Linked DNA regions of Lytechinus pictus. The protein of the gene in region 1 purifies or fractionates together with the protein of each later gene. This does not show direct contact. Links are inferred from orthologs where the notes say so. Each region holds a gene or a part of one and is shown in the gene's direction. Other genes may lie near its edges.

Evidence for each region.
Region 2: the proteins of nucleolar protein 58-like (region 1) and NHP2-like protein 1 fractionate together in Homo sapiens (co-fractionation; 3 studies listed by BioGRID and IntAct, with this or other methods). This does not show direct contact. The link is inferred for Lytechinus pictus from reciprocal best matches to the Homo sapiens genes NOP58 and SNU13.

The regions. Positions count from the first base shown.
Region 1 is NC_087245.1:3,759,934-3,771,040, forward strand, and holds the start of nucleolar protein 58-like, read left to right. Parts: upstream 1-6,869; 5' UTR 6,870-6,954; coding exon 6,955-6,999; intron 7,000-11,107. Other genes in the region: uncharacterized protein LOC135156108, read right to left, coding at 1-771. UniProt on the Homo sapiens protein: Required for the biogenesis of box C/D snoRNAs such as U3, U8 and U14 snoRNAs. Part of the small subunit (SSU) processome, first precursor of the small eukaryotic ribosomal subunit.
Region 2 is NC_087254.1:23,669,528-23,681,009, forward strand, and holds the start of NHP2-like protein 1, read left to right. Parts: upstream 1-7,203; 5' UTR 7,204-7,543; coding exon 7,544-7,546; intron 7,547-11,482. Other genes in the region: 26S proteasome non-ATPase regulatory subunit 10-like, read right to left, coding at 2,657-2,758.

The DNA.
Region 1 (11,107 bases):
TCTTAGTCCCGCCGACTTAAGCCATTGATGTGTGTCTTTCTGGTCTACGAACTCCCGATGCGTCTGTTTTTCATGGTGGCCATGAAGTCGCTTGGATTTAAGTTGCTCTTGAAGTTTCTTGTGAAAGGAGCATTTAAGTCTTGCCTTCTCTTTTTCACCGTAGGGTAGTGTCAGTCGATGTTGTGCCAATAAGATAGATGCTTGCTTGTTAATGGAGTATATTGCTTGACATTTATCATAATCGAGGGATATACTCGTCAGTATATCAGGTGGATTGGATAGGTAGTTGGCGAGGTTCGTTGCTTCCATATTCCAGACCATCCCAATTTGTTGTAGACCTCTTCCTCCAAGATCACGGGGAAGGTACAACCTTTCGATTGCGGCCTTTGGGTGATGTAATCTGTGCATCGTTAATTGCTTTCTGGTCATAACATCTAGGCCACATATATCAGCTAGTCTCCAGTTAACAATACCAAAACTGTATCTAAGCACAGGAATGGCTAGTGTGTTGATCGCTTCAATCTTATTTTTGGCATTCAGTTCGGATTTGAGGATCAGCCTGAGTCTTCTTTTGTATTCTGATGTTGCCTTCTCCTTCATTGTGTTATGGCTAATGACATCGTTCTCAGCTATGCCTAGATATTTATATGTCGAATCATTAGTCAGTTCCTTGATTGATGTTTCCTCATCTTGCACAAACATGTCGCCTGTATTTACCCTCCTTCCTCGTACAAGTGTAACTTTGGCACACTTGTCTATACCAAACGACATCTTGATGTCATCGCTGAAATGTTTAACTACTGCTATCATCTTGTGAAGTTCATCGTCATTTTTTGCAAAGAGTTTGATATCATCCATATATATCAGATGGTTTATTGTCGTAGATACATCTTGCCCTTTGTATCTGTAGCCATAACTCGTAGCGTGTAAGAGAGAGCATACTGGATTATTATTATTATTAATATTATTAATATTAATATTATTATCATTATTATTATTATCATTATCATTATTATTATATAGTAGTGGTAGTAGTAGTAGTAGTAGTAGTAGTTATAGTATTAGGAGTAGTAGTAGTATTAGTAGTAGTATTGTTTGTTCATACATAACTTTCATACATAACTTTAAAAAAAAATCAAGAGAAAGGAATAATTTTATTAGAGTAAAGTTTATTTTTCTATCTAAAAATAGCTGCGTGTCTTGTTACGAGAATATAGCCTTCTTGTGCAGCTTTTATATTTAGTGAAAGACGGTGTTGATAAAATGATATAGAATGGGGTAATCAGAAAAAAGGAGTTTGTGGCACCAAATTCCTACGAAAAATAAATTGTAGTTGCTTGTGCATGAGAGAGCAGATTTGAATAAGAAAATTTGTTATTGTTTTATGGCAAAAATTAGCATTGTAAAGCAAAAATACTAAACTTATATAACATGATATACAAACTCAAGCGAGCCATTTCAAAGACTCATAGTGTCGGGAGCAGTGAAAGGATGTGAAAACATTCAAAATTTGAAGAGTGAAAATGCTGTTTTGGAGCACTCTGACTACAGCTTGAGTAGGATGCTTTGACAGCATTTACTATACATTTTTTTTTCAGTTTTCAAAATTTCGGGGGGGGGGTGGACTACTGAGGGAGAAACGCTCCTGACTGAGGGGGCAATGCCCCCACCCCTGCTGCCACCACTGCCAGTGGTAGATCATTAATAGAGGATAGTTTGGCCCTTATGATTTATGTCAAGCCTTATGTTGTGTTTCCAGATTAAAAGATTAAAAAGGCGAAAAGAATCGCGGACGTACACAGTAAAAACGCTGTTTAAGATTTTATACAACGCTGTTTACTATATGAACCTTACAGTATTTGTTTAACCGATTAAACAATCATGTTTAATTTATTGACAATTAGATATTGAAAATTAAACTATGTTGCTTAAGATTAAAACAGTTGTTTAAACTGTTTAAGCAATTACTGTAAGGTTCATATAGTAGACAGCGTTGTATAAATTTTGTTACTGTGTGCTGATAAAAATTAGATTTTTAGCATGTTGGACGATTTGGACAATGGACCAGATGGCTTTAGACCCTAAACGGAATCAATGATATCAATGGCTACCTCCTCCCACCGTCATTAATTTTTGGTTATCTAGTCATTACAAATTTGAAATTTGATAACATCATAAACAAAAAAGTGAATTTCCGTTCCATCTATACGAGCAGAAATACGTCATACCGTTGCACTTGTGTAAAAAAAACAAAATAATAATAAAGTAAGGAGCACGCATATTTGCCGAATGTTCTGACAGCTTATGTCAGGAATCTTATTCCCAACGTAATTTTAATACATTCACATTTATATATATACAGAGGTCGGTTACTATTCCAAAATGTTCTTAAAATGTCAAATTTTCCGGTCTAGATACCAAAAATGTTCAGCTCGCGCTGCCTTTTAGTTTTACCTGCCTAAAACTGTATATTGCGGACATTATATTGCTCTGTTATCTTGCCATATTTTCATTATTGTAAGTTGGTCTGATGTTCTTTCGCATACCAAAGCCATCTTAAACTGTTAAAAAGTATTGTTTCCTTCAAAATTACGGTACTTATCTTTTCTGCAGACGACAACATAGCATTAGCCTACACCAAAATTAAAAAAAAAATTATTCCCTAAAATTGCTAAAATTAGACGATATCAATGACCTTTAGCAGTGTAATTTTCTGTACAGGTGTTTAAATTCTCAAATTCCACAAAAATTCCATAATACTTTTACACGTGACACATACATTATTTTGATACCCGCTAAAATCCCGGCTCAAACAATCAAATATTTATTCCTAAACATAGAAAAATTATTTTCCAACACAATTATACTGGCCCGAAAAAATTGAAAACTATCTCGGACTACAAAAAAAATCTTTGTCAACAACTAGCTTCAAGTATAAAATGAACAAAAAAATGTTTTTGTCATTTTAATGTATGAATATCTTCATCTTTCCTTTTGACTTTTATTTAACATGATATTATAAACTTGCTGTTGCAGCAATTTTTTTTCATACCTCGTACAATTGGTGTACGCTCTCTTTTTTACTATATAGTTCATGCCCGTCTCCCCGCTCACGTCTCGATCTCTTTCTCGTTCCATTCCCCTCTCATCTTCTCTCTACCCTTTCTATAGCCCTTCTTCTTTTCTTTGTATTGTTCACTGTGTATACTGGCATATCCCGCCACAAACCTTTTCTTTATGCCTTCTGCTGTTAACATAGCATGTACATATTTATATTCATCACGGCAAACTGATTTTTGCATGAATTTATGTTTACAAAAATGTAGAAATTTGTCAATGGAAGAAAATAAATGTTTATTTGAATTTAATTGATTATTGATTTTTTTGTGTGTTTTAGTTCAGCATGTAAAACAAATTCAGCCCGTGCTTAACCCTTGCATCACTTTTAGTCCAACTCCAAATGTTTTGTTAAAATAAAAGTTTGATTTGAATGAAAAGAGAAAAATCAAACAAACGCAACGCTGAAAATTTCATCAGGATGACATCTTAAAATTTGCTTAATTTCGTTAAACAATTTTTCCTGACCGGTATGCAAATGAACATATCGATGAAGTCACCCATTCACAATTTCTATTGTGTTTTTTAGAAGAAATACTTTATTTTTCTCATAAAAGTTTGATTCCTCCCGGATGCCATTTGTTGTAATTTAATTCAATGGATTGTCGCGCCTTATTTTCAAATGTGCAAAAATGTATAGGAATATTGTATAACTTATCAATAAGATATGAAAATAGTGAATAAGTCATCATCTCTTATTTTTAAATCACATGTTGTGCATAGTAACTGTTTTGTAATATGTATGTATACAGAAATATATATATATATATATATATATATATATATATATATATATATATATATATATACATATACATATATATATACATGTATATATATAAAATCTTAAAATGTCATATCTTTCTTATTTTACACCCGATCCTACGAAAATTGTCAGTGTTGAATTTGTTTGATTTTTCTCTTTTTATTCCAATCAAACTTTTATTGCCAAAAGCTTTTATTTGTTTAGGACTTAAAAAAAATATAACAGCATAATCAACAAACACAGTGTAATAACACAAACTGAAAATGATCAGAAGCCCCTTTCATAGATTGTTTATATATACCGTGGTAATATCAAATGATATGATAAATAACACTGAATACAAAAATATGCGACTCAGAGGTAGATGCTAGTTGCTAGACCAGATCCCGGGGGGGGGGGGGGACTTCCATTGACGAGTGGATACCATGCGCGACTATGGGGTCCTGAAAAGCACCCTAAATAAGTATTTTCCATATTCTGATAATGCACCCATTAACAAGTATTGGCGTGTGAAACCCTACCCTTAACAGGTATTGGAAACAAATGGCAAGTATTCCCTGAATTGAACCACTAAACAAGTACAGCGATATTTTAATTGTTAGAAATATGTCACGGACGTCGGTTTACCTACATCATTGGGTTTAGTACGGCCCCACCTCGCTCAAATCGGACTCTTAACACGTAGTCATGTAGTGATGACTGTTGGGGCAAAAAGTACATCCTTCATATAACATTTTAGTCTTTTTACCCTCGCAAAGCTTTCCTAGCGAAATAGATACCCTTTTTCATTATTTTAGTGTTTTGACGTACGTAACGTGCCCTATGTTGAAAAAGACATCCTTTTTACTAGTTTTTTTTTTTTTGGTCGCGCATGGTATCCACTCGTCAATGTAAGCAGGGGCGTAACAGGGTTCGGTGGCCAGGTGGGGGGGGGGGGGGGGCAACAGCCAAAAATTTCCCGGTCATATCATGGTATGAACAGGCGTAATGGTGTTTTGAGGCGACAATTTTGAGAGGGCCAGATATTGCGTATCGGGCAGGATTTTTGTTTTGTTTTTTTAAAGTTGCGAGCGAGCGAGCAAAAATTTTGAATTTTTTCTTACAAAAATCCAATTTTGACATGATATCCAGAGAAAAATATATTTCACCCTTCTCTCTTTCCATTCCCTTTTCTTTTTTGGTCTGTACGCCACTGTAAACAGGATTCTTTTCGGCAGTAGCGTGAAGAGTAAAAAAAGAAACGAGGGGCGTAGTATGGCGCATGTGCTAAAAAGGTGCTTAATATAAGTCCCGAGCGAGCGAAGCGATCGAGAAAAAAATCACCTTTTCATGAGAATCTAACTTTGAGATATTTTTTGACATTATATTCAGTAAATAAAATCATATCCTACACTTTTCCTTTGCTTTTCTTTCCTCCTTTTTTTGTTCTTGGTTGTAGAACTTTTGGGGACCATGGCCCAACCATTCCATAATCATATACGGCAGTGCTTTGCTGTTGGGGACCTTGGCGGAGCCCCCGGAACTTCTTGATATCAAAGCCATTTTAAACCTCGCAGATTGCCGCTATTTTTAATAAAATCGCGGGTATATACATAATATACTCATTTACATAACACATTTACTCATCCCAGTTGCGTAATGAGCCAAATATTTTGAGGGGGCACGATATATATAGCAAAGCGGGAAAATTTGTAAATAGTCGCCAGCGAGCAAAGCGAAGCTGGAAAAAGATGCCTATTGAAATTAGATAACTAATTATGAGACAGATTTTTCCATTATATTCAGCAAATAACACATTTCATTTTTTCCATTCATTCCATTACGTTGTCTCCTATAATTTCTTTTATTTCCTCTTGGGTGTGGAATCAAGACCCCCCCCCCCGCCTGTACGCCAGTGATGGAACGTAAAGCTTAATGTAGGAAGGGTCCCTGCATGGCGTTATAGAGCCATTTGAAGGTTATAGATGAAGAGCCCCTACTTACTGCGTGGGGTCTGGGGCAGAGCCCGGTAGCTCATTATTTTCATGAAAATTATCAAGCCTATAGCAAAATGTTGTATGCAGTCCATCTTTCTTCCCACTCTTTATTTTCAATCCTCGCTAGCCCGGTCGTGTTATTAAGTTTTTTTTTTTTTTTCCCCTATTCTTCGTTTTCCAATTTAGCTTTTGGCTAATTCCATTCTACCTTCATTTCCCGCTTTTGTTTGCCATTTTGTCATCTTTTGATTTATTTCCCTTTCTTACTAATCATGCTGTGGCATTACATAGGCCCATTTCGGAATGATTTGTTCTTTCTCAAATGTTCTTCTTTCGTTTCTTTTCCCGCTTTCCTTTCTTTTCCATTTTTTCTTCGTTTTCTTTTGATCCCTTTCCTTTTCCTCCTTTCCTTTTCCCCTTTCCTTCTTTCCCTTTCGCTTTCTTTTCCATCCCTTTTCTCTTTTTCTCGTTTTTTTTTATTTTCCCGGTGAAATCCGCCAGGGGGGGCAGCTTGCCCCCCTGCCCCCCGCCTGTTACGCCACTGAATGTAAGTGCTCCCCCCCCCCCCCAGGGGGACCAGATATGCGTCTGACTACTAGTAACTGAAATGCGAGAGCAATGATCTGTATTTTTCTAACGAATTAAATATCACGGTCAGTCCGGTGAACTGTAGCCTATAATATACTATAGACGGAGGCTAGGTGAACTGAGGAAGAAGTTGTCGCAGAATTGAAGACAATTAATGGGTCTGAATATCAGACTAGGAGCTGAGCTGGCTGTAATGCATGACAATCCTATCGCTAGTCTGCTGGGCAAACCCTTCGCTCGAGTTAAGGGTCTGAATGTGCAGCCTACTCATGCCTTGTGCACTGAAGGCTCTCTCGCGAAGGACAGCAAGTTTTGTATGTGCTAGTCTTTGCGTGGAGGCACCCTTGTTGATCAAAGTTCCAATGAGGGTCTGGGCCTGCAGACTATCCTATCGCTGCGTTTGGTGATTTTTCTACATGTGGCCGGTCGGTCCCATTTGCATATGCAGTACCGCGTGGTCGTTGCGGCTGTTGAGAATCCACAATCACGAACGAAAAGCTTGCAATTATGTTGGTCCTCTTTGAATCGCCGGCAGGATATGCCATTTTTAAGGTAGATTATTTTGCATATTAGCTACAAATATTACTTTTATGTGAAATCATGTGATAGGTGCATGAAATTAATTGCGTATTGGTGATTATGAAACTATATCATTCTTGTGTCCAGTCCCATTGCCTCACATTTGTGTTGGTTGTAGGTAGATGTAATTTAGATCTGAGACTTGAGAGTGAGACGTGACACTGTAACTTGTTAAGTCATTGACATTGTAAGTACTATAACTAAGTGTAATTACACTTAACCATTGTAATTTAAGTTAGTTGTAACAGTCTAGTTGAGTCCATTCAAACAAGCTGTTAATATTTTTTTGGATAACAAAATCTGCATATTTTCCCCTGTAAATTACTGACACTATAGTATAGGCCCTACTGAAATTTGAATATCTCCGTCAATATTTCAGACGCAGTGCTTGGGGGGGGGGCACTCAGTATATAAGGCATAGTGGGTACGTGTCGCGGAGGGGACCCCAATTTTTACACTCAAATTTCTGTTCCAAGGCATAACATTTTTGTCTTAATTATTGAGAAAAACAAAGAAAGCCGCTCCAAAGCATAGCATTTTCTTATCGTGAAAAAAGAAATCCGCTCCAAAGGCAAAGCTTCGTATATTTTCCGTTACGCCGTTCCGTCTGCATTGATCTGCTACAATGAGCCGCAATTTTGGTGAAAAGCGGCCGCAGAGTGCTGTCCAACTATCGCCTCTGCGCTATTTGATGAGATTCCTTAAGTTCAAGATTTAAAAAAGTCACTGAATTCCCTACATAAAATGGCAGTCTTCGGAGTCTTGAATCAACGACTGCTAAAATAAATGCAATGGTCTGGAACTTGCCACATAGAAATGGGGGTCTCCGGAACTCCTATGACTGCGCCGATCAACCTCGCTGCTCTGAGTAGTTCAAGATGGGCATACACTGGAACGAGAAACCACAAATTTGAGGGTCTCTGGAACGGGGTAAAATAGGAATTGCTTTGGCGTTCTAAATTTGTGATGCTCTGGGGAGCGTTTCATGAAAGGACTTGTCGGACGTTTTATCCGACAAGTCCCATTTTATCCGACAGTTACTATAGTAACAGTGCAGTGCCTCTCAGCCAATCAGAATCAAGGAAAGATGTCAGATCTGAAAATGTTGATGAAATGGTCCCCTGTAATGTAAATTTAGGCTGATATTGCAGAGCGGCCGGTAAACAAACAGTCATACACTCATATATACCGTAAGTAACGGACTATAAACCGCACCCGAGTATTAACCGCACCCCCAACTTTGGACTAAAAAAAAAAAAAAAAAAAAAAAAAAAAAAATCCTTCTCACATATTTGAGGTACGAAGAAACAAAAACTCAGTTAAAGATTTCAAGGTATCCAAAGAGATTACCGGTATGCGAAAATCTGCTGTTCTTGATCAATTCATCTAAATGTTAGCAAGAAAGAAAAGTCCCGACAATATTGGCCACTTACAAGTTACACACTCACCTCACAGTCACAGTGTACACACACACAGCACTGCTGTTCTTACATTGCAAACTTAGATACGGTACCAGCAGTACATCTTATCAAATTATGATGTGTCTTTCCCAGCGTAGGAGGAAGAAACATTCACATTTCTTGCATCACAACCTCACAATCACTTTCAGAATTTGTCTAGCATTCGATGTCTTAGCATGAATTTTGGATACGGGATTACAGGAAGGTTCAAGAAACAAAGAAATTGGCATTTTTTCCAATTGTTATACGGCTTTGTGCCGTCTCTCTCGTTGCGTGGTGTACATGGTATCTTATGAAAAGCAAACGAGAAAGAAAAAATAAGCTGGCGCGAAACGGGACTTTCGCGGCCGGGAGGGGTTAAAATGAATAGCGCCAGCTTAAGTCGCACTATATAGCCACAATACAATGCAAGCTAGCTCTAGCTCTCAGCTGTGACAAAATATTACCGAGTATGCTTGGTTTCTCTTTGAACTTAGCCAGGGTACTTCGCTGCTTTGAATCGAGAATAAAGTCGAAATTAGTGTCATGAAGGTGGGTGCGTTTGTTATGGACAATATTTGATTAAGATCGATTAATAATCGCTTCCCATTACCCGCGGCTCATACCCCTCTAAATGACATTGCCCTGGGCGGCTACCCCCGGCCACTCGATGTGTTGTGAACTTGCAGACGTCTTACATGTTCGGGAGGGGTTACGGCGGGCTGGCTCAGACCCGTCACCGTGGATAAACCGCACCCCCGACTTTTGCTTCTATCTCGCCGAGAAAAAGGTGCGGTTAATAGACCGTTACTTACGGTAATCTATTGGGAAAATGGTCCTACCTTATCACTCTGTCTCTAGCTCCTATCGTCAGGCACACTCACTCATAAAGCGAAGTCCGTACCATCCTTGGGTTGTGTGTAGTACTAGTGCAGTGGTGGTGAGTGAAGATCTATATTGTATTCATATTCCCGCCGGTGGGTCATGTGATTCGCGAATGGAGTGGTGTCTGCTTAAACTACTAGTGATCCCCCCTAACACCATACTTCCCCCACCCTAAAAAAATTGGGTGACCTATTTTCTATATAACTTAATATAACTGAACATACTTAACTTAGCATAAGGTATAACTTAACATAAGGTAACACTAAACATAAAGTATACATCAACATACATTTGTTGTGTTTGTTCTTCCTCTTTTTTGTTTTCTTGATCATATCTTTTTCTTTCTTTTCTTTTTTCTTATTCTTTGATTTCTTTTTTTTTCTTTTTCTTCTTTCGTTTTTCTTTTTCTCTTCTTGATTTTTTCTTCTGTGATCTTTTTTGTTCTTTTTATCTTCTTCTGTAATCTTTTTATTTTCTTCTTTTGTGATCTTTTTCTTTTCTTTCTCTGTGATCTTTTTCTTTTTTCTGACTCTTATTTGTTCATAAACATAAATATAACAAATATATACATCAATATATATACATCATTACCAATCATAAATAATATTCTTACCTTGTCTCTGCCATGATATAAATTAATTAAATAAGATTACTGCGTGTAACTATGTACCAAGGTAAAAATGAATATGTAAAATAATAAATATATGCATGTATACATATAGGATATTGCCAACCACCTAACTTTTCTATTTTATTAATACATTAATATATATACAATAAGGGATGCGTACAAAATAAATTGGGTAATAAATTACAGGTGAAATTATGTCGTAAATTATAGGCATCCATTTTATCTTTCTTGTATTGCATTAAAGTATACTTCATATAAAAAAAAAAATTTGCCTCCGACGAAGATTCTGCTAGGATCGAAAGCTTAGGCCCCTTTTGACTTACTAATTTACTCCATTGGCTCTCATATTAGATAAGCAGCTTTCAGCAGCTTCTTTTTGCCATTCATATAAAATAAATAGATTCGCACAGTGGTAGGCAGAGACAGGTGCAAGAGAGTAGCATTGTCCCTTTATTTGAGGCAATAGAACTCCCTCGTATTAGTCTGCCATAACCAGGATTGATACTCAATTCAAGATGGACACGTTCCATGGGGGCGCTTGCATGAAAACCTTTCGTAGGATGCCTCCCAGAACGGGTCGCTTTCTTGTTTTACAAGTTGCACACCTGGCTTTGCAGATGCGAGTGTCTTCCGACATGCCGTATCGGTAGTACTGAGTGCTACCGATCCCAGCATGCCCTGCTGAAGGAGGATCATGACTAAGCCGAATGATGTAACGTCTCAGTGATTCAGGAATCACCATTACATCACTCTCGTCCTCCATTAAGATAACTCCTTCTTTATAAAGGTAGAAGAGTTCCCTGTTTGTCCACAAAAAATTTCCATTGGGCGGGAGGAGAAACAGAGTCTCTTCAACCGTCTCTTTCTTGTCAACCACTTGCAGAGGGGCTTGAGGAGTTGGTCTCGTTTCTCGTGATTCGTGATCTTGACTAAATTGTCCGAAGGTGGTTCCTCTGCCACCTCACCTGGGTCAACTATTCGGATCTGAAATGAATTGGCTTTGTTGAAGGATATATCTATGCGCATTACAGGGAATGATTCTTCAACAGCCACATTTGGGACCCTTTGTCTTTGACTTAATTTCTTTTTAAGTAGAAGCCTTCTCGACTCCTGTTCCCCTGGGGCC
Region 2 (11,482 bases), on another chromosome or scaffold:
CGCCTCTTTTTTTGCCAAATGAAGGTGATTATGATAGATAATTCATATAATTTAGTTGGCATCAAGACAGCATCATGTAGATAATTTCCTAAATGAATTTGTCTAAAGTATTGTTATTGTAATTTCTAATGTATTTCTTTGTTTTTCTGATATAAATTACAAGCTCTTTTTCAACTTAGTATTGTAATTTTGTATATGTGTATGTACGGGGGTCCTTTTTTACATATAAAACATTTTCTTTTGTACTTTGTATGACCAAATAAAAATATGTGTGCTTTTTTCTGATGATTTTGATTGTTTCACCAATTCCTTATGTATTATATTGTTTCAACAATTTGTTATACATGTATAATATGTAGCTTTTGATTTGAGAGACAATGGACATGTGATTACATTTTTTTAGAAGGAATGAGCAGCTGAGTGTAAAATATGGATGTAGAATTGTATGCAATTTATTTCAAGTATCAAGAAGGACGAAAATTAAGTTTTAATATATTCTATCAGTTGTCAATGTCTTATATTTGTATACATACATTGTATTACTAAGGCCCTGTTTGAGCTCTCTTTTTAAAGAAAAATAAATAAATTCAAATTATTAGTCGAAGCCAAAAGAAAAGGAAAAGAGTGGTCTATTTCTTTCAAAACAAAACAAAAAACAACCAGGAAAAATATATAACAAAGCTCTAAACAACAACAAAACAGACATCAAAGCTCCAAACAAGCACTGAAAACAAGAGAAACAAAAGTGACACAAAAACTTGTACCAATCCCATCCCCATTTTCCAATTCAAAACACAACCCCCACCTGCGCCCCTAAAAAAAGAAAAGTGAATAAAAAAATAAATAGTAAAATTAATAATAAAGAAAACATAAATACATGACTTAGACCCATCTGGAAATGAAATATTCTTTCCTCTGAGTTTTCATGTATTTTCTTACAAGAGTGAAAAAAATTACAACAAAAAAATAAACAACATCTAGTTCGTGCATTTTAATAAAAAAAATCAACATTTAAGATATTCTCCTTTCAAAAGCAAATCCAGTCTCCTAATAATGAAATATGACCCCCCAAAAATGAAAAAATAAACAATACAATAATTTAAAAAAGAAACTTTAAAAAATATATAAAAAAAGAAACTGAAAAATTAACAATTTTTGCATTTTAATTAAAAAGTCAACATTTATGATATTCCCCTTTCAAAAGCAAATTCAGTCTCAAAATAATGAAACATGATTGAAAAGTTTCAAAATATATTTTTTTTCTACAAAAGAAAAAAAAGAAACACTATAGATTTTGCATTTTAATTTAATAAGTCAACATTAATATTCCACTTCCAAAAGAATCCAGTTTCCAAATGATAAAACATGATTGAACAATCAAAGTAAAACATGTTGACTCTATAACCTTAGGAGGAAAGAATGTTTTTGTGACAAAATGTATAAATTTAAATCAATATCAGAATAACAATCTACGGTATAATGACAGACATTTTCAGAAAAAGGCACAATATTATCAAGTAAACAATTTAGATCCAGTTCAATCCAGCATGAACGACTCACTATCGACCGCTCCCGTCACCAAGCCCTCCGCATTGGGTACCGGTAGCTCGACTGCCGAAAGACGGACGGGAGCCCACCGCATCGGGCAGCTCGACTGCCGAGAGACCGGCTGTGACAAGGGTAGCTCGCGTCTCTTATATCTGGACAGCTCAACGATAGAATCTTTTAATTTTGATTTTTTTTGTTGATTTGAATATATTCTATAACAATTCAGATACATAATTGGATCGTAGTTCTACTTACCATTAAAAAATTTCGATCATTTGCGCATCCAAAAATTTGATGAACTTTCAAGCTCCGATATCCACACTTCACAGGCGAGTATCCACATTGAAACTTATATGTACAGAAAGAGCACATTTTCAACTGTCTGTATCAAGGCACGAGATTGCATCAACTATGTGCGCATGCGCATGAAACCCCATTTTCGATGAGCCTCCCAGACAGAGGCGATGCCACTTGCAGCGAAACCCGCGCGAAAACCGTGCAGCCAAAACCAGCGCTCGCGATGCGCCCGTATTCGCACATACCTATCAATTGTGGTTGATGGAATATTGACTGTTGTTCATTACTGTATATGCCAGATGAGTGCCCGCACATGCCCAGTCGAGCAAATTTGAGTCATATTTCAGGACATATTGCATAGTTTATTTTCGCATGCCTCCGAATTATGTACTACACATAACCAGACCAAGATGGATGCGGCGAAAAAGTAATTATCAATCATCACAAAAGCATATTTCCCTTTCTGTATGACCTATATATAAAGTATAAAATATAGCTGCGGAGTCATGCGGGAATCATTTGTCTACACAATTGCAAGAGATGTTGAGCAAAGTGCATGCCTGACATACTTTCTGCCAACGCAAAGCAGGCTTCGGCGGCGGGCGCGGCGGAGTTTCCTCCTGATCCCTCCGCTCCGCGAGCTCAAGTTGAACTCCGCCTCGGCCTCCCAGCTGAGCTGAGCTGCGCTGAATAGCCAAACACAAACGGTAACATTACATGGAATCTAACAAGTGGGACTACGTCTACGTGTAGTTCAGTCGCGACACATGCACATCGACGACAGTGAAAGTAATTTGGTATACTTGCAAACCTGATCTAATTTCAAGAGCAGCGAATTATTCTCCGATAATTTCACTCTCAATGCGGAGAGGTCTCCTCCGTATGCCAACTTCCAAATGTCATCTGAAGCCATAATCAAAGTAAATATGAACTAAAATTCGACACAAACGTGACTAGCTATAGGCAGTTTAGTTGAAATAGCAGACGTTTTCACACCACATATGAAGTGCCACTGAAGTCTGATCTGAACGCAAAGAGAATATATTCTTTCTCAAGTTAGCTTAACAGTTAACGCATAACACTAAAAATTTGGTAAGAGTTCCATATGCACCCCCACTAAAAAAAATATATATATATATATAATATCATAATATAGCATAATCAGATGGGGGAAGTGATAAAAATTAGAGTAAACTTATACTTTGAATTGTTTTCATTTCCATATGTTTTATACATAGACTACAGTGTATACTCCCAGAACTTCCCCATAATTTATGATACAATATATACTCACTCTTTCTCATTAAGGTTTATACAGCTCTTCAGCATCATCTATAAAGAATGAAATATTGTATAATTCAAACAATAAAAAACAAAAGAAATAGTGAGTGAGGGACATCATCGACTGTCTCATTTGAGTTGTACATATCACTAGTGTTTTGTGAAAAATAAGCAAACTTTAAAATGTCATAGGCTTATTTTACATCCGATTTTGATGGAATTTTCAGCGTTTTGCTAGTTTGATTTTTCTCTAGTTATTAAAATAATCAATATTTTTCTGGGGTGGACTTGACCTACCGGGTGTGTTTCTCAACGGGGTTATTCCCCCCGTATTCCATGATTTAACTGATCGACCCAGACCCCCGGGTTTTGGGACTGAAGCCCCCCCCCCCCCAAAAAAAAAAAAAATCGACCACAAAGAAAACAAATATATATATATTTATATATATATATATATATATATATATATATATATATATATATATATATATATATATAGGTCCTATAAGCGAAGGCCTATATAATTATTTCATTCATGTCGTCAAGTGCTCTAAAATAAAAGTTTTTAATATTCAAATTCAAAAATTTTCTCGCTCGGTCGCTAAACGCTCCCTCGCAAAATATCATCTAAATGAAGAACACATTAATGAAATCAATAATCTCCTGCAATAGCTAAGCTATATAGTAGACTGCCTTGCAACTTAACCTCCATAATGTATTCACCCACCACGAAATGCCATAAAATTGAATAAAACCTGTCGTGTTTTGGACTTTGGTCATCAAAAGCGCTCCGCCTTAGAGCATCTAATCAAGATGGAAAGTGTGCTATACAAATCTAATGTATTATTATTATTATTAGATGTAAATGATTTGACTGGTCTTCAATAGGCCACATAGGATATGTGTATTCTTTTGTGTTATACTGGGATGTTGTGCAGGGTATATCATTTGGCCGTTTTGTTGAATAAGTATCCCATTCAGTATTATTTGCTGCAGGTGTATATAGGCTTAATTACATTATTATTTGTAAAGATCATAAGTGCTTCAAATTCTAGGTTTGGCTTCAAACATTTTCTCCCTGGTCACCACATCCCCTCGTATTTTTAAGGGGTGTCATATTAAAACCCCATCTCCTGCCATGTTCTATACCTTTTTACGTTCAAAGTTTAAAAAACGCCTCAGGACTGGGTAACAATTAACACAAACCAATTTCCTGCCTATCCAGTCCTACCCCCGCCCCCCTTTCTATCGTTAAATGTCCTCATCTACATCTGTAACACCGATCAGGCCCTAATGCATAATAAATGAGATGAAAAATTCTCAAGCATTTTGATTTTTTTTTCTCGGTCGCTATGCTGCCTCGCACAATATTAGAAAATTTCATAGGAGGGTGACTAGCTAATTGGTGTGTATAAGGCTATCCACAATAGGCCATTTTTATTGTATTGAAAAAAACCAACGTCAAAAATATTTCAAGCCCCCAGAAGACCCCCCCCCCGTAAAAAAAGTTAAGTCTATATAGAACCGCGCCTGCGTGTATAGCTTATTCCTCCATTCTTTCTTGTTTTCTCTCCATCTTTATCCTCTTTTCTCCTAGTTCCTCCCACCCCCCTCCTTAAAAAAACCACAAAACATAAGAAGGGGCACGCCTCACATTTTTAGGTTTTATAAGCTAGCTTGCACATAATGCGATTTCAGCTTAATTAGGCCTACAAGGTCATGAAAGTCAGAGGCCTGTTGCGAAAAAGAAAATCTCTGGCAATTGTAACAGCTATTATAGGCCCACGCAGCCCACCCCCCCCCCCCCCCAGCCCTGAACCTTAAAGGGGAATCCAACCCAAATAAAAACTTGTTTTTATAAGGAAAGGAAAATTCAGACAAGTTGATAGGTGAAAGTTTGAACAATATTGGACAAACAACAAGAAAGTTATGAATTTTTAAAAGTTGTAAATATTGGTAATCACTATATTCATGGAGACTTCAAATTGGCCGCATATGGGATGTCATAGTGATGTAAGGCAAGGACTACTCTTCCATGTACTCCAATACATATTATGCCTAAAATGTCATTTTTTCAAAAAGTTTTATTTCAAATTATATTTTTCTTTCATGAGGACATTAAACAATATATTACCTGGGTTATATTTAGATAACTGCCCCAGGGGAATGGGTACTTAGGAGAAAACCACAAATCCCTGATAATAAAGTACATGGCCTATGGGAAAGTTGTCCTTGCCCATTGTCATAATTTCCTTACCCAGTTGCCAATTTGAAATCTACATACTATTAGTGATCTCAATTTTAAAGCAGCTATAACTTTCTTATTGCTTGTCCGATTTCTTTCAAACTTTCACCATTCTGTTTAATTCATTTTTTCTCCTTCCCAACACAACATTTTATGGCCAAGGCTGGATTCCCCTTTAAATATATCCGCATGATTTTGTTCGGCCTTCTTGAATGTGAACAAATTTTTTTGATATGTAATGATATTCGTTTGAATAGAAAGTTTTATGAACATGGTGAAGTATAAGTTGTTGCGACCTCAGGTCTATGCGAAGAAGGTCAGCTTTTTCGACTTCATTCTTCCCAACATGTGTTCTTGGGTGTAAGCAAGTAATAAATCTAACAATCTTATTTTGAATAATTATACACTTTTTTTGATCAACCTTTCCAAGACTGCAGTACCATGCTGCATTAGCATAATCAAATAAACACTGTATTAATGAAAAGCTTAAAATGCGTCTGGATTTCGTATTCATGCAGTTTTGGTACCGGTATATAGAAATTTCAAGCGAGCATTAGCTTTTTTTACAATAGATGTACATGAGAGATCACTATTCAATATCAGGCCTAAATACTTCACGGAATTCTGTCTCTTAATTAATTGATTGTTATAGTATATATTGAAATAATCTGTATGCTTAGACTTACCCCGCGAACAAAACAAAATACTTTCAGTCTTACCAACATGTAAGCTAAGCTTATTATCTGTCATCCATTTAACACAATTTGATAATTCTAAGCTAAGTTTTTCACCGATCAGCTTAGGACTTGTATCAGAATAGAGTAAAACACTGTCGTCTGCATATAAAAGTAATTTACTTTCATTAACACAATTACACATATCATTGATATAGCACATAAAAAGAATGGGACCTAATATGCTCCCCTGTGGAACTCCGCAGTTTATAGGCATAGAATATGAAAGTACATTTTGCATGGATACCACTTGACGGCGATTGGTCAAGTAAGACCTAAACCAATTCAAGCATGCTGAATTCAAACCCATCACTTCTAATTTCTTTAAGAGTATTTCATGATTAACTGTATCGAATGCTTTTTTTAAGTCAAGAAGAACCATCCCAACATAACGGCCTTCGGAAATTTCATTCCTAACAAAATCCAACAAGTGAATTAAACATGTTTCAGTAGAATAACCATTCCTAAAACCAGACTGAAATTCATAAATGATTTTGTATTCTTTAAAGTATTTCTCAATTTGAGAATACACGCATTTCTCCAAAATTTTCGACACTATATGCTTAACACACTAATAGGTCTATAATTCCCAACATGAGTTTTGTCTTTCTTTTTGTGTAGTGGTGTGACTTTAGCGATTTTCATTTCATCAGGGAAGGTACAAGTTGAAATATATAGGTTAATAGTGTTAGTTAAAGGTATAAAGACATTTTTTGCACCATCCTTTAAAAATCTAGCAGGAACCAAGTCAAGTCCGATACTTTTTGATATTTTCAACTTGGATAATTCATCTAATACAAACTTTTCTGTGGCAGGAGAAAAATTAAAACAGCCTCTTTGTATACCTTTTATATAGTTTTTTTTTAATTAGGACTGTCGGCCCCAAACTCATTTCTGTCCGTAATGGGGAGCTCACAAGATAATTTATCGGCCACTGTTGTGAAATAATTGTTAAATTCGTTGGCTATCTTTAGATTATCATGACATAATTCTCCTTCAATATTAATAACACTTTTCTGAATATTTTTTTGTTTGTTTTTTAAACCTAACTCTTAACAGACCATGATTGATCAGCAAGTGCGTCTCCACGTAAAGACTAGCACAAACAAAACTTGCTGTTTCAATTCTGAGCGAGAGGGCCTTCAGTACACAAGACATGGATAGGCTGCACATTCAGACCCTATAACTCGAGTGAAGGGTTTGCCCAGCAGCTCACTTGTCTCGGACTTCGTTTTTAGCATACGAGCGCGGCGCATAACATCGCATGCATATATATGTATACGTATATATATATACGTATCCGATCGATCCGATATCCCCATTATTTGCTTTCCATAAGTATACGCACGTGGAGCTCGTTAGGCCTCAGTGAAGCGCAACGCCGAGAGGACCGAAATTCATCTTTTTCTATCCTAACCAATCCAAGAAACTCTCTAATATGGTATGTTACATACTTATTTCGAATTCGTGGTACATTTCACGCATGTTTGATTAATTATTTTAGCATTATTTGTTGAAAATGTGCATCCTGCACAACCAATTTATAATACGGCAATACGATAAACTCGGCTCAGCGATTTATCTCGTGTGCAATTCTAATACTGAATCACGAAAACGTGATAAGATACATGGGATGTTCGTGGGCGAGAATCGCATACGCAGATGATGGGAATGGACTAATGGCTAGGGCCTGTTTCATGACGAACCAAGTCGAACCATGTACCTGTAACTTAAAGGAAAATGAAACCTCTGAACAAAGATAGCTTGTGTGAAAATAGAAAAATCAAAGAAACAGATCAACAAAAGTTTGAGAACAAAAATGAGACAAATAATGAGAAAGTTATATGAATTATGAGCATTTCAGAATATTGTGATCACTAATGCTATGCCTATGACGAGATCCTCACATTGGCAATGCGACAAAGATGTGTGATGTCACTTGTGAACAACTCTCCCCATTACTTTAGTATATATTTCACTAACACTGCCTCTTTTATCACATCTATAAGTAGATCGTGTGTTCTTCTATAAGAGAGCATGTACCGGTAATACAGATTTTTAAAGAATACATCATGGATAAAGAGTTTGTATCACCATAAGAAAAAGCGAAAAGAGACACTTGTTCCAAAGGTTTCATTCCCCTTTAAGTTGTAACGACGCCGAAAGGTTGACAGTTGATGAGGCCTGTAATGTAGGTTTTATCTTGGAAGTATTTGGTCTTGCTTTTGAATTTGATTTGTCTACTGTTGATTGTCTTGAAAATGAAATTGTATTTTGTTTTGATTTTGTACAAAGTACAGTATTTTTCATGTTGAGTTTTCGATTTTTTTGTGTGATTGTGATCTGATGCAGCTGCAGACCTGTCCGTACATTTGTATTTCTGATGAAAAAAAATGTTTATTTTTCTGTTTTTTTTCCCATGATTGATCCGATGTGAACACTAAATAAAAAATTCTGTCCATTACTAGACTTAGTCTACATGGTCTAGCTAGTAGTAGTAGGACCACTCGCTCTGATACTCCGAGTGACAAAGGTGAGATTTTAGGGGGAGAATAAACTCATGCAACAACTTGACCTTTAAAAACTGATATTACCTAGGGATACCTTGGGAAGTTTCTGAATGTAGGCATGTTATGCCTCTATTGAGTTCTAGGTTTTTCCTCAAGATGGCTGGCTCACTTCCGAGAACAGGGCTTTCGTACTTCGTAGCCATATTTTATTTGGCTCATTTTTCCAGCATCTAATGTATCCAGGGCAGCTTCAAAACTGTGCACACTTGGGGCAGTGACAACTTCATTATTTAGGCTATTCCATGTCTTACGTATTCTAACATAAAAAGACTTCCTATATTTCTGGGTCTTTGTCCTTGTTATGAACAATTTTTTACTGTGACCTCTGGTATGTTCACGATATTTTTCTTCGAGATTAAGTTTTGTACATTGATCATAATTATTAAAGTGTTTATATGTTTCAATCATATCACCCCTAACTCTTTGATACGCCAGAGTTGGGATTTTTAATCGTTTAAGTCGTTGTGGATAGGAAAGCTTCCTTAATTCAGGGACTAATTTTGTTGCCCTTCTTTGTACGTTCTCTAATGCATGTATATGTTTTTTCAGTACGGGGTTCCACACAGCATGGGCATACTCAACTTGTGGTCGGACAAGCGACTTATACAACAATGCAAAGTTATTTTTGTCTAGATATACAAAAGTTCGTCTGATCAAGCCCATAAGCCTGTTGGCCTTGTTTATCTTCGATTGCATGTGCTCTTCAAAGCTGAGTTTATCATCAATCACAACACCCAAGTCCCTTTCGGAGGTGACATGTTCAAGCGCATCATTCATTAAAGTGTATGCAAAAGCTTCCTGCCGGTCCTGCGTGATACCAATAGAGAGTACACTACATTTCTTGGGGTTGAATTTCAGCAGCCATTTTTCTGACCCGCATTTCAAATGGTCAAGATCTCTCTGGAGTGAATTGCAATCATTCTGATCTCTTATATACTTGAACAGCTTGGTATCATCTGCAAAAAGATAAACATTACTTCCAGTAACAACATCTGGGAGATCATTGATATATAACAAAAACAGCACGGGCCAAGAACACTCCCTTGCGAAATTCCGCTATCTACATGTCCCCAACTTGAGAACTCGCCATTCACACACACTCTCTGTCTCCTTCCAACAAGGAATGCCTCGAATAACCACCTGTTCATTTATACCAAACCTTTTCAAGCAGTCGACGGTGAGGTACCTTGTCAAAGGCTTTCATAAAATCTAAACAAATTACATCAATTTTCTTACTTTTCACAAAGTTTCACTTCTTTTCCACGCTTCTATCAGCAGCTCAATTCATGAATATTCATGAGTAGGACTAAACATCGAGATCATTTTGCATTTGCATCAGATATGGATGTATAGTCCTCATGAATATTCATGAATTGAGCTGCAAATTCCGCGCAATTTGCCTTTGCGATGTTTTGGAATCGGCAGTAAACTAATACGTTCAGGAAATTAAAGAAGCATGGAAAAGAAGTGAAACTTTGTGAAAGGTAAGAATATTAGTTTTTATTGTTTTTAAAGATCGTGTTGTTGCATGAGTTTTATATTTACCCCCATAAAATCCCACATATATCACTCGGAGTATCAGAACGAGTTCACCACCTTGATGATCGGGTAGGTGAAGCATAGATAAGCGGTAGTGAAATGGAGTCTAGCCTACATGGACATCACTTGAGGTAGTCGACTCAAAACTTATTTAAAAATCCAGCAGTCAATCGCCACAACACACTCCAAGTAGACAGCACTATTACTCACCTCAGGAAGGTCTTGATTTCTACTCGACTCCAAAATCCCCTTTGAAAAGTCAAAATGTCAAATTTTGCCCTTTGGCTTAAAAATGTAGAATCTGTTCCATATTTCCAGAGTATGTGGCAGCTCATCTCAGATTTAACAAGCGGGATCTCCGAAAATGCACTAAAATTTAAAGAAATCTGTAGTTTTTCTTCAAAGTTCATGAACTTTCTCGCAAATTTACAATCTTCAAAATGACATAAAAAACAAGCACAGAAAAACTTGACCACATTGAATTTGCACAGAAATCAAGATGACAGCATGCTAGCGGGTTGCCTTCATTTGGCAGGGAGTCCGAACGGAGCAAATTGGTGACATACATGTAGATGATGAAATTTTCAGTGTTGTGCTTACTTGATTTTTCTCTATTGATTCAAATCAATATATTTCTGGGGTAGACTTGACCTTTAATGGACCTAAGGCTGGGAGGGAACCAATCAGAGAGTAAGAGCTTATTTACAGTGAAGTACATGTACATTGTATGTATGAACACGAGTATTGAAAATGAAAGACGGAGATGGAAGAGTGAATCTTGTATGTTGGAAAGAATGTAGAGAATATGGTGGAAGACGATGGAATTTCGATGACTAACGGAAGATGATGATTAAGAAGAATTATTTATTTAAAATGTCACTATTCAAGAACCCTGTTCACACTACAGCTCTACAAAAGGAAACATTTTACATTAAAGGAGAATGAAACTCTTGGAGCAAGTTAGCTTTTGTGAAAGCAGAAAAATCAAAGAATAAGATCAACAAAACTTTGAGTAAAATAGGACTAGCAATAAAAGAGTTATGAGCATTTGAATGTCGAGATCACTAATGCTATGGAGATCCTCCCATTGGCAATGCGACCAAGATCTGTGATGTCACACACGTACAACTCTCCCATTTGGACACTGAAAATATACCCCAAAACATCTCTTTTTGCTCATTCTAATCATATGACAAACGATTCATCAATGATATAATGTTGTGAAACCTCTGTACTTGTCATCTCATAAAGAGAACACCTCACCTTGT